Mus musculus: one gene and its partner. The protein of the gene in region 1 purifies or fractionates together with the protein of each later gene. This does not show direct contact. Links are inferred from orthologs where the notes say so. Each region holds a gene or a part of one and is shown on either strand. Other genes may lie near its edges.

What was found.
Region 2: the proteins of Clspn (region 1) and Cdc45 purify together in Homo sapiens (affinity purification with western blotting; 4 studies listed by BioGRID and IntAct, with this or other methods). This does not show direct contact. The link is inferred for Mus musculus from reciprocal best matches to the Homo sapiens genes CLSPN and CDC45.

Annotation. Positions count from the first base shown.
Region 1 is NC_000070.6:126,580,688-126,584,502, reverse strand, and holds part of Clspn (claspin), read right to left. Parts: intron 3,544-3,815; coding exon 3,468-3,543; intron 3,072-3,467; coding exon 2,974-3,071; intron 1-2,973.
Region 2 is NC_000082.6:18,809,085-18,813,520, forward strand, and holds the start of Cdc45 (cell division control protein 45 homolog), read right to left. Parts: upstream 2,889-4,436; 5' UTR 2,482-2,888; coding exon 2,431-2,481; intron 2,281-2,430; coding exon 2,221-2,280; intron 1,398-2,220; coding exon 1,305-1,397; intron 1-1,304. Other genes in the region: Ufd1 (ubiquitin recognition factor in ER-associated degradation protein 1), read left to right, coding at 3,331-3,333. UniProt on the Homo sapiens protein: Required for initiation of chromosomal DNA replication. Core component of CDC45-MCM-GINS (CMG) helicase, the molecular machine that unwinds template DNA during replication, and around which the replisome is built.

The DNA of each region.
Region 1 (3,815 bases):
TTTGTTATGAAGACAATAAATTCTTGACTTTTCAACTCCTTTGCAGTTGTTCTTTTGGGAGGAATAAATTAATAAAAGCTTTCAGAAATTAAAAAAAAAATCAATCAATCAATCAAACCCCAAACCAACCAGCCAAAACCAAAACATTTAAAATTACTTGATTATTTTATGAGTGTTCTGCCTGTGCACCACATGCTTGCAGTGTGTACAGAAGATAAAAGGGGATGTCAGACCCCATTGTTACTGGGGTGACAGATGGTTGAGGGCCACCATGTGGGTGCTAAGAACTGAAACTGGGTCCTCTGGAAGTACAGTACCAGTACTCTCAACTACTGAGCCGTCTCTCCAGTCCTCCATTCTCCTATCTCTTATGTTGTGGGGAATTATAAATGCACACCGACACACCCAGCTGGCTTGCTGGCGTCCTTCCAATAGGTGGGTTCTGGGGATCGGACTCAGGTCATCAGGCTTGTACAGCTAGCAGCTTCACCTAAAGCCATCACCTGGTCCCAGAAAACTCGTAATTTTTACTACATATTTAGGAGTACCTGCTAGAAGGTTCACACTTATTTGTTTTGTATTTAAGCTCATCAGTGCTTAGAGAACAGTCTGATACAGCAAGACCAGAACTCCCTGTTGTCGACACTATTACAGTTTGTCTTTTCTAGTTCCTTTTCTGGTGAGGTGCTGGAGACTGAGTGTATAGCCTTGCACAAGTGAGGCTGTTCTCTAAAGCCCTCTAAACTTCAGCTCTACTCTTACATTTTGAGATACTTCTTGGTAAGTTGCCTGGGATAGCTAAAACTCTGTAGGCCAGGGTGACCTTGACGTATCATTGTCCTAGCTGAGCATTCAAGTAGGTAGTCACAGGTCTGCACCACCCGCCGGCCTATTAATTTTTCTAACTTCATTCTCTTTAAGAAGGCAGCCTTCAAAGTCCTCTTCTCTATGGTCACAAGAAGCAGAAATTTGGTGGGTCTGATAGATGAGTTATTTTTCTTTTTGAGACAAGTTCTCCTTATGTAACCCTGGCTGTCCTGGAGTTCACTGTGTAGATCGGTGCTGGGATTAAATGCACGGCCACTGTGCCTAGCTTGAAAGATGACCTCTTAGTCAGAGATATATTGTATTTTCCCTCTAAATGCTAGGCTTCCTGGAGAGTTCCTTCAACGGCCATTAGTCTCCAGGCTTCTCAGGAATGTTGCTGACAGTTCATCTTTGGTTGCCATTCTTTTTTTTTTTTTTTTTTTTTTTTTTTGGTTTTTCAAGACAGGGTTTCTCTGTAGCCCTAGCTGTCTTGGAACTCACTCTGTAGACCAGGCTAGCCTCGAACTCAGAAACCCCCTGCCTCTGCCTCCCAAGTGCTGGGATTAAAGGCGTGCGCCACCACTGCCTAGCTGGTTGCCATTCTTTAAGGACTGATTTGAAAAATCTCTGCAGTTAAATAAGTTTAACAAATACTACCTCTGGGGGTTAAAAGACCTGGTTATATTCTAAAGTTACACAAAAAAGTTAAAGTGACAGGTGACAAATGAGAACCCCAGCTGGATCTTAAGAGGATGAAATGACAGGCCAAAAGCAACAATATAAATCTAATAGAGATCAATATGACGTCCTGACATGAATGGAAAAGTCATGCACATGCTATAAGCTACTGGATCTTTATCAAATTACCTTTGTGAAACTGCTTAAGATTATGATACTATGGATATGCTATGAGGGAAAGTAAAGATGCAAAGTGAAACACACAAAGAAATTGTTTAAATCCCAGATGTTATGAGGAAATGTACTACCAATGCTTTCACACACATTCTGGCCAATTGATATCAACAGTTCCCTCCCTGCTTTCCTCCCTCCTCCCCCCCATCCTTCCCTTCACGTTTGTGGTGCTGGGGATAAACCAGAACCTTACACATACTATGCAGTGCTTTACTATTGAGCTTCACTGCCAATCCCTGTCCATCTGTCCATCCCTCCATTAGCTTACCCACCACCCACCCACCCACCCACCCACCCACCTATGTTTTTAGTAGTATGTGGTGGAGATTAAGCTCAGGGCCTCATTCATACAGGCAAGTCCTCTACCTATATCCCCAGCTCATACATTCTTTTGAATACTCTAAAAGTTTTACTCTCATGAGTGACAAATATTTTAAATATAAAAAAATTAAGCAGGCCATTTGTCTGAGACGAGAATCAAGAAAACCAGGAATGACAGACTTCATAGGAGCAGTTCCTGCCAAGGTCAGTTATCAGCATAGTCTTAGGGCATAGGGACTGACTCAGTTCTCCTGATCTTGGGTCACATGACTAATACCCATCTAACAAACAGCCAGAGCACACCTGATTAGAGAGAGACTATTCCAGGACACGATGAGAGTAGGAAGCAACGCTACTGAAATGTCATTGGGTCTGGGAGGAATTGAGAGATATTTGGTATTGATGTCACTTAAGGAAAATAGAACCATCTTTGAGTACGCAAGAAGTAGCCACAGAAGCCAGGCGTGGTGGCGCACGCCTTTAATCGCAGCACTCGGGAGGAAGAGGCAGGCGGATTTCTGAGTTCGAGGCCAGCCTGGTCTACAAAGTGAGTTTCAGGACAGCCAGAGCTACACAGAGAAACCCTGTCTCAAAAAAAACCCAAAAAACAAAACAAGAAGTGGCCACAGAAGGGTTTTAAAAAACTTATTCATGTGCATATGTGTGCCATGGCACAAGTGTGGAGATCAGAGGAAAACCTCTGGAAATTGGTTTTCTGCTTTCATCATGGGATCTAGACTGCCTTCCTGGCAGTCAGGGTTGCACAGGAAGCACTTTTACCTGCTCAGTCACCTCATTTGCCTCAAGGCCATGAAGGACTGGTTTAAATGTTAATCTCGAAAAGCAGAAACCAAACCAGCAAGTTTATTTAAAAAGGTAGCAGGCTATACCTCAACTTGGGAGAACTGTCTAGAAGCTGGACAGAACACCTACATTTGGCGCTTCATCTTCTCAGACTGCTTCAGGAGCTCTTCTTCATCATCCTCCAGGTCCAGGGCCAGCTCTTCATCATTGGAGTCACTGTGTTCATCCTGCCACGGCAGAGCAGCAAACTCAGTTACACACCGACAACAGGGATCACAGTAAGGGAGTGCTGCCACGCCTTAAGCACGGAACAGAGTCCTGTGCTCTTTTCCCTGTTCCTAAACTGTTTACTTTGTAGACAGAGTCTAGCTGTGCAGCACAGGCTGGTCTTGAACTCACAAACCTACCTCAGCCTCCTAAAGCACTAGGATTTCGGGCACATGGTCCCAGGTTTGAGCTCCAGCGCCATGAGACAAAACCAGAAGGCAACAAGAGGGTTTATAAAGTTCTGTCCCCACGCCTCAGCACAGGACACTGCTTCTGGTAAGACGCTAAGCTCAGTTCTCAAGAACGAGGGCAGGGGAGCACCGAGTGGAGCTTGGTTGTACTCTCTCTGCACTCACCTCGTCACTAGCAAATCCATTCTCCTTTGAAACAAGCTGGAAGTCTCCAAATTCCTCCTCTTCACCCTCTTCCTCCCTAGAGGACAAAACACTAAGTTACTGAAAGCACACCACAAGCAGCCAGCCAAGCTAAGGACTTAAGACACTCATCAGCACCAGAAATTTCTTTTAAGAAGCGGGAAATGAGGTATTTTGTCTTTTTAAAAAGGTGTTTTGAGCCTGAGGGCTAAAGCATTTACCCTGCTACTGTGAAAACTGGAGTTTTGACCCCAGAACCTGCATCAGTGCCAGCTTGGCAGAGTGGCCCACCTGTAATTACAGCCTCATAAGGCAGAGATAAGGATGCTC
Region 2 (4,436 bases), on another chromosome or scaffold:
GAGCACGCCGAGGCTCTGCAAACTCAAGACTTGTACACAAATAGCTAATGAAGAACAGGAGCAGGACTTCACACACACACATACCAGTCTCGCGGGCTGTTGCTCAATGCCAAAATGTTGCTGCAATGTCCCCTACAGCTTACCACATCACCAGCACTGTGTGGGTTAGGCTTGCAGTAAATCTTGGGCAGCCTCACGTGGCCTCCTCAATATTAGATCCTTTATCAAACAATCACTATAGGTAAAACCTTTCCTTAGTAACACCAAATTGCCTGCCTATGGGCTCACACCTGTAATACAACACTTTGAAGGCCAAGGAAGGAGGATTGTCCTCGGCTAGCAAATAAGATCTTGTCTCAAAATACTGGAGGTAAAAAACTCGACTGATATAAGTACTTCAAATTATAAATGAATCTCTTCCAAGTCATCCTAGAAGCAGCCAGGGACTCCAAATGCATTTTGACATGCCCTACCCATTCCCTATAGGGCCTTCAATAACCCATTCTCATCTGGTCCCAGGCAGAGGTAAGGAGTCTTGGTTCTACCGTTTAATTCCAAAGTGAAAACGTGTTTGATAACTGGAATGCATTTTCTAGAGATAACATAGAGCAGTAGTGTATCCTAATGAAATAAGTGAGGTTAGGACTGAACCCCCTCCCCAAGAGCAAGCATGAGCTGGATCTAGCCTGCTGCCCCCCACTCCCCCTGCACACATATGTAGCAAGTGCAGCTTCATCTTCACGTGGATCCCCAACAACTCAAGAGGGGGCTGCTCTGACTCTGTTGCCTTTATGTGGATTCCATTCCCCTAACTGGGCTGTTTTGTCTGGCCTCAGTGGGAGAGGTCCTGCAGTGACTTGATGAGCTGGGAGGGTGGGGGTGGGGGGGGTAACACCCTGTAAGGGGGGGTGGTTCTCCTTCTCAGAAAAGGGAATAGGAGGAGGTACTGTGGGGGGGGGTAACTAGGAGGAAGGAGGCTGATATGGGATACAAAATAAATAAATAAATGGAAACAACAAGTGAGGTCAGAGTAGGTGCTGCCCACAACTAAACTGTTTTTATTTTTGAGACAGGATCTTGTCGTGTAGCCCAGGCTGGCCTCAGTCTTGCTAGATGTAGTTCAAACCTACCTTAAATTGGTGGTTCCTTGGCAAATGTTGATTCCGCCACCATAACTTTAAGCCTAATAAAACTGATACTTCAAAAACACCCTTCTCCTACTTCAGAACTGGACAAATGCTAAGTATTAAGAACCTGCCACTGAGTAGAGTGGCCTAATTATTCTCCAATTCATTAGTTCATACCTGCTCTTTATGTTCAAGATATGCAGTTTCAAGTTCTTGCCACCCAGAAACCGGAACCAGCGTATACTGGACGTGGTCACACTGAAACAGGGCCTGGAGAGAGAGCATGTGGTCAGAAACCCTCATTAAAGATAACTTACCTGCAATCACCAGAAGCAGACTAGTTGAGTTGAGACAAAGATCTATGTGATATGCTGTTTGGTAAAAGGTCAATAGGAGAAGCTACGTGGCAAGGCTGTGAGCAAGAATTCAATCTGAATCTGTACAGTGTGCCAAAGTAAAACATTAAGAGAAAAAAAATACCCTAATTTTAATTACAGGGGTTCTGAAAAATTCCTAACCCCAGCACATTGTAAAAACCACACTATGAGCCGGGTGTGGTGGCGCACGCACGCCTTTAATCCCAGCACTCGGAAGGCAGAGGGAGATGGATTTGAGTTCGAGGCCAGCCTGGTCTATAAAGTGAGTTCCAGGACAGCCAGGGCTACACAGAGAAACCCTGTCTTGAAAAAACAAAAACAAAAAAACAAACCACACTATGGTCAGAGCCCAAACTAACAATCTTCTCTAATAGACTCGGGGCTCCTGTATTTCCTGCACTCCCTATTATACCACTCCCCACTGTCACATCTCCTCTCTCAAATTCCATCTTTGAGAGGTCATTTACAAATTCAAAGATTTCAGAAGTGAAACCATTTTCACTTGGGTTACTGTATAAAACACTACGTACTTGTCTCACTGTTTGCACTATACTTCTCTCTAGCTCCAGTATAGGTCAGAGAGGATATTTTGGGTTCCTCACCTCCTGCCTGCTCCTTCTGGTCCCTCCCCTTCTGTGACCTACCCCCTGCTGGGGCCAACCCTGATCTGTCACCTCTCCCTCCTGTCCTACCTTCCTAAGGTATTCAAAGCTCACCTGGAGGATCTTGCAAGCACACAAGGCATCCACGTCCGAGGCCACAAAGAGAAGGACCCTCTGTAGAAGCAAACGTGGACAGATGAGTTGAACACAGGGACGCTAAACTCTGTGGCAACTCTCTGACCTCCCGGCCCATCCACGGACACTCGCCCTCTTCTCCCCAGCCCCCAGATAAGGTTTGGATCAGGATCGTGGAATGGGAGTCACCTGGTTGTGGACCGTCTCGTAGAACTCCTTGCGGAAATCGGTCACGAACATAGCCACAGCGGCGGATACCTAGAACTGGCGCTGAGACACGGACAGCCCCGGAGGTCGTCAAGACTCCCGCCAAATCACAGCTCTTCTGATTGGTCCACGCCAGCAGCCAATAATTCTTAGCCTTTCCTCCTTTCTGATTGGTTCCTACTGGGGACAGCCAATAATGCTCTGCTATTCGCAGCTGGATAAGACCCGCCCGTCCCTCAAAAAATGAAACATCTTTCCTCAGGCTGCGAACCTTGTTGCCGGTGTTGACGCTAACGTCCAGTCACCCAAAACCACCTATGTTTGGCAGACATCTTTACTTCGGGAAGGAAGGTCTATTATCTGACCCTGGCATACTTAGAAAACAATATACTCTTAGACATAAAGTAAATTCAGTCACACATTATTTGAATGTGTTTCCAATAAGTTTCCAATACACGGTTCGTCGAATTAGAGTGAGCTATAGATTACTTCCGCCCGAATCCATGATGGCCGGGATCAACGCCGGAAACTCTAGCTGCATTCTGGGTATTGTAGTCCGTAAGGAGAACGGCTCCTATCAAGTTGTTTGGAAGAGAGTACTATCTAAACATTATAAACAGTCGCTATCCTGTGAAATCAATTATCAAGTGTTTTAATGTTTACTTTAAGTAATATTCAAACCTCAGGCCTTCCCATGACTTTCTGTTTTTCCGCCGCTGACTTCAGGCCTCCGTACCCCATCCCCTGCGGTGTTCCGTCACTTCCGGCGAGCCTCTCGCGGTTTCTGGGTTTCAGAGCAGTGGCCTGGACTGCAAAGAGGGAGCTGTGGGTTTTTATTGTAAGGTTCAGGAAAAGAAGCGGCATCACCAAACGCTGTCAGTCATGGTGAGTTGACCGGGGATCGCGAACCGGATGATGCCAGAGTTGCCCCTGGAGCTGGCAGGGAGGGCCTGGACCTGGTGGCGGAGGTGCCGAGTCACCCGGGCCTGCGTCGGGCCCCGACACTGTCCCGAGAGCTTCTGTCCCAAGTGGGACCCATAATTACGAGCCACCTCTTTTCTTCTTAGCTTGTCCGAGTCATGACTCGAATGCCTTTCGGCGGGACAGCAGCCCCGAGAGTAAAAAGGAACCTGCTACTTTATGTCGATAGTTCTCATAAGTGCTCGACACGCAACAAGTTTCCATGAACTCGGAGTTAACTGGAGATTTCTTGGGGGAGTGGCGCGAGGGAGGAGAAAACGAAGGACATTAAGCTCAGCCAAAGTTCCCTGACCTTTTATTTAGTAGAAATCATGTCTTAGGCTGTATGTCACGTTGTGTTCATCACGTTGTGATAACGACAATAGGTAATATGTAGTGCGCCTTTTTTCTATCAACGTATACTTATTTAATTCCTGCATTCCCCATGGAACATAGGTACGTAGTTATTATATTTACCGGTAGAACTAAAACTTAGAGAGGTGGTACTCAGGAAAGTGAGGCTCAGAGGTTGGAAGTCAAGTCCATCCGGCTGCAGTGATGTCTCATCACTCCTGTATATAGTGTTGACTCCGTGCCATTTGTTTGTTTGTTAAAAACAAGAAGTGATTATTAGATTTTTATCCTGAGTGTCACAGTAAGTCCCTGTCTAAGTTCATTTACATAACCAGCACTGAGTGTTTGATGTGTTAGGCATAAAAGCTTTAAAGGAAGTAACATGGATGATAGAAGCTCATGTTCATTGGTGGCTGAGTTGGAAGGATACCGTTCGGGTGTTGCATACTTCATGTACGTTGTTTATGTTCCAGAGAGAAGCAGTAGGTTAGATGGATGGCATAGGTGAAGATGCTTTGACGAGCACACACCCCCCACCCCCCAACCCCATGGCTCAAAAAAGGGCTTTGTGGGTTATGCACCTAAGACTGAGTCACACAGTTCTGGTACTTAAAGAAAAAGATAAAAGACTGAAGCACGCCTTTAATCCCAGCACTAGGGAAGCAGAGGCAGGC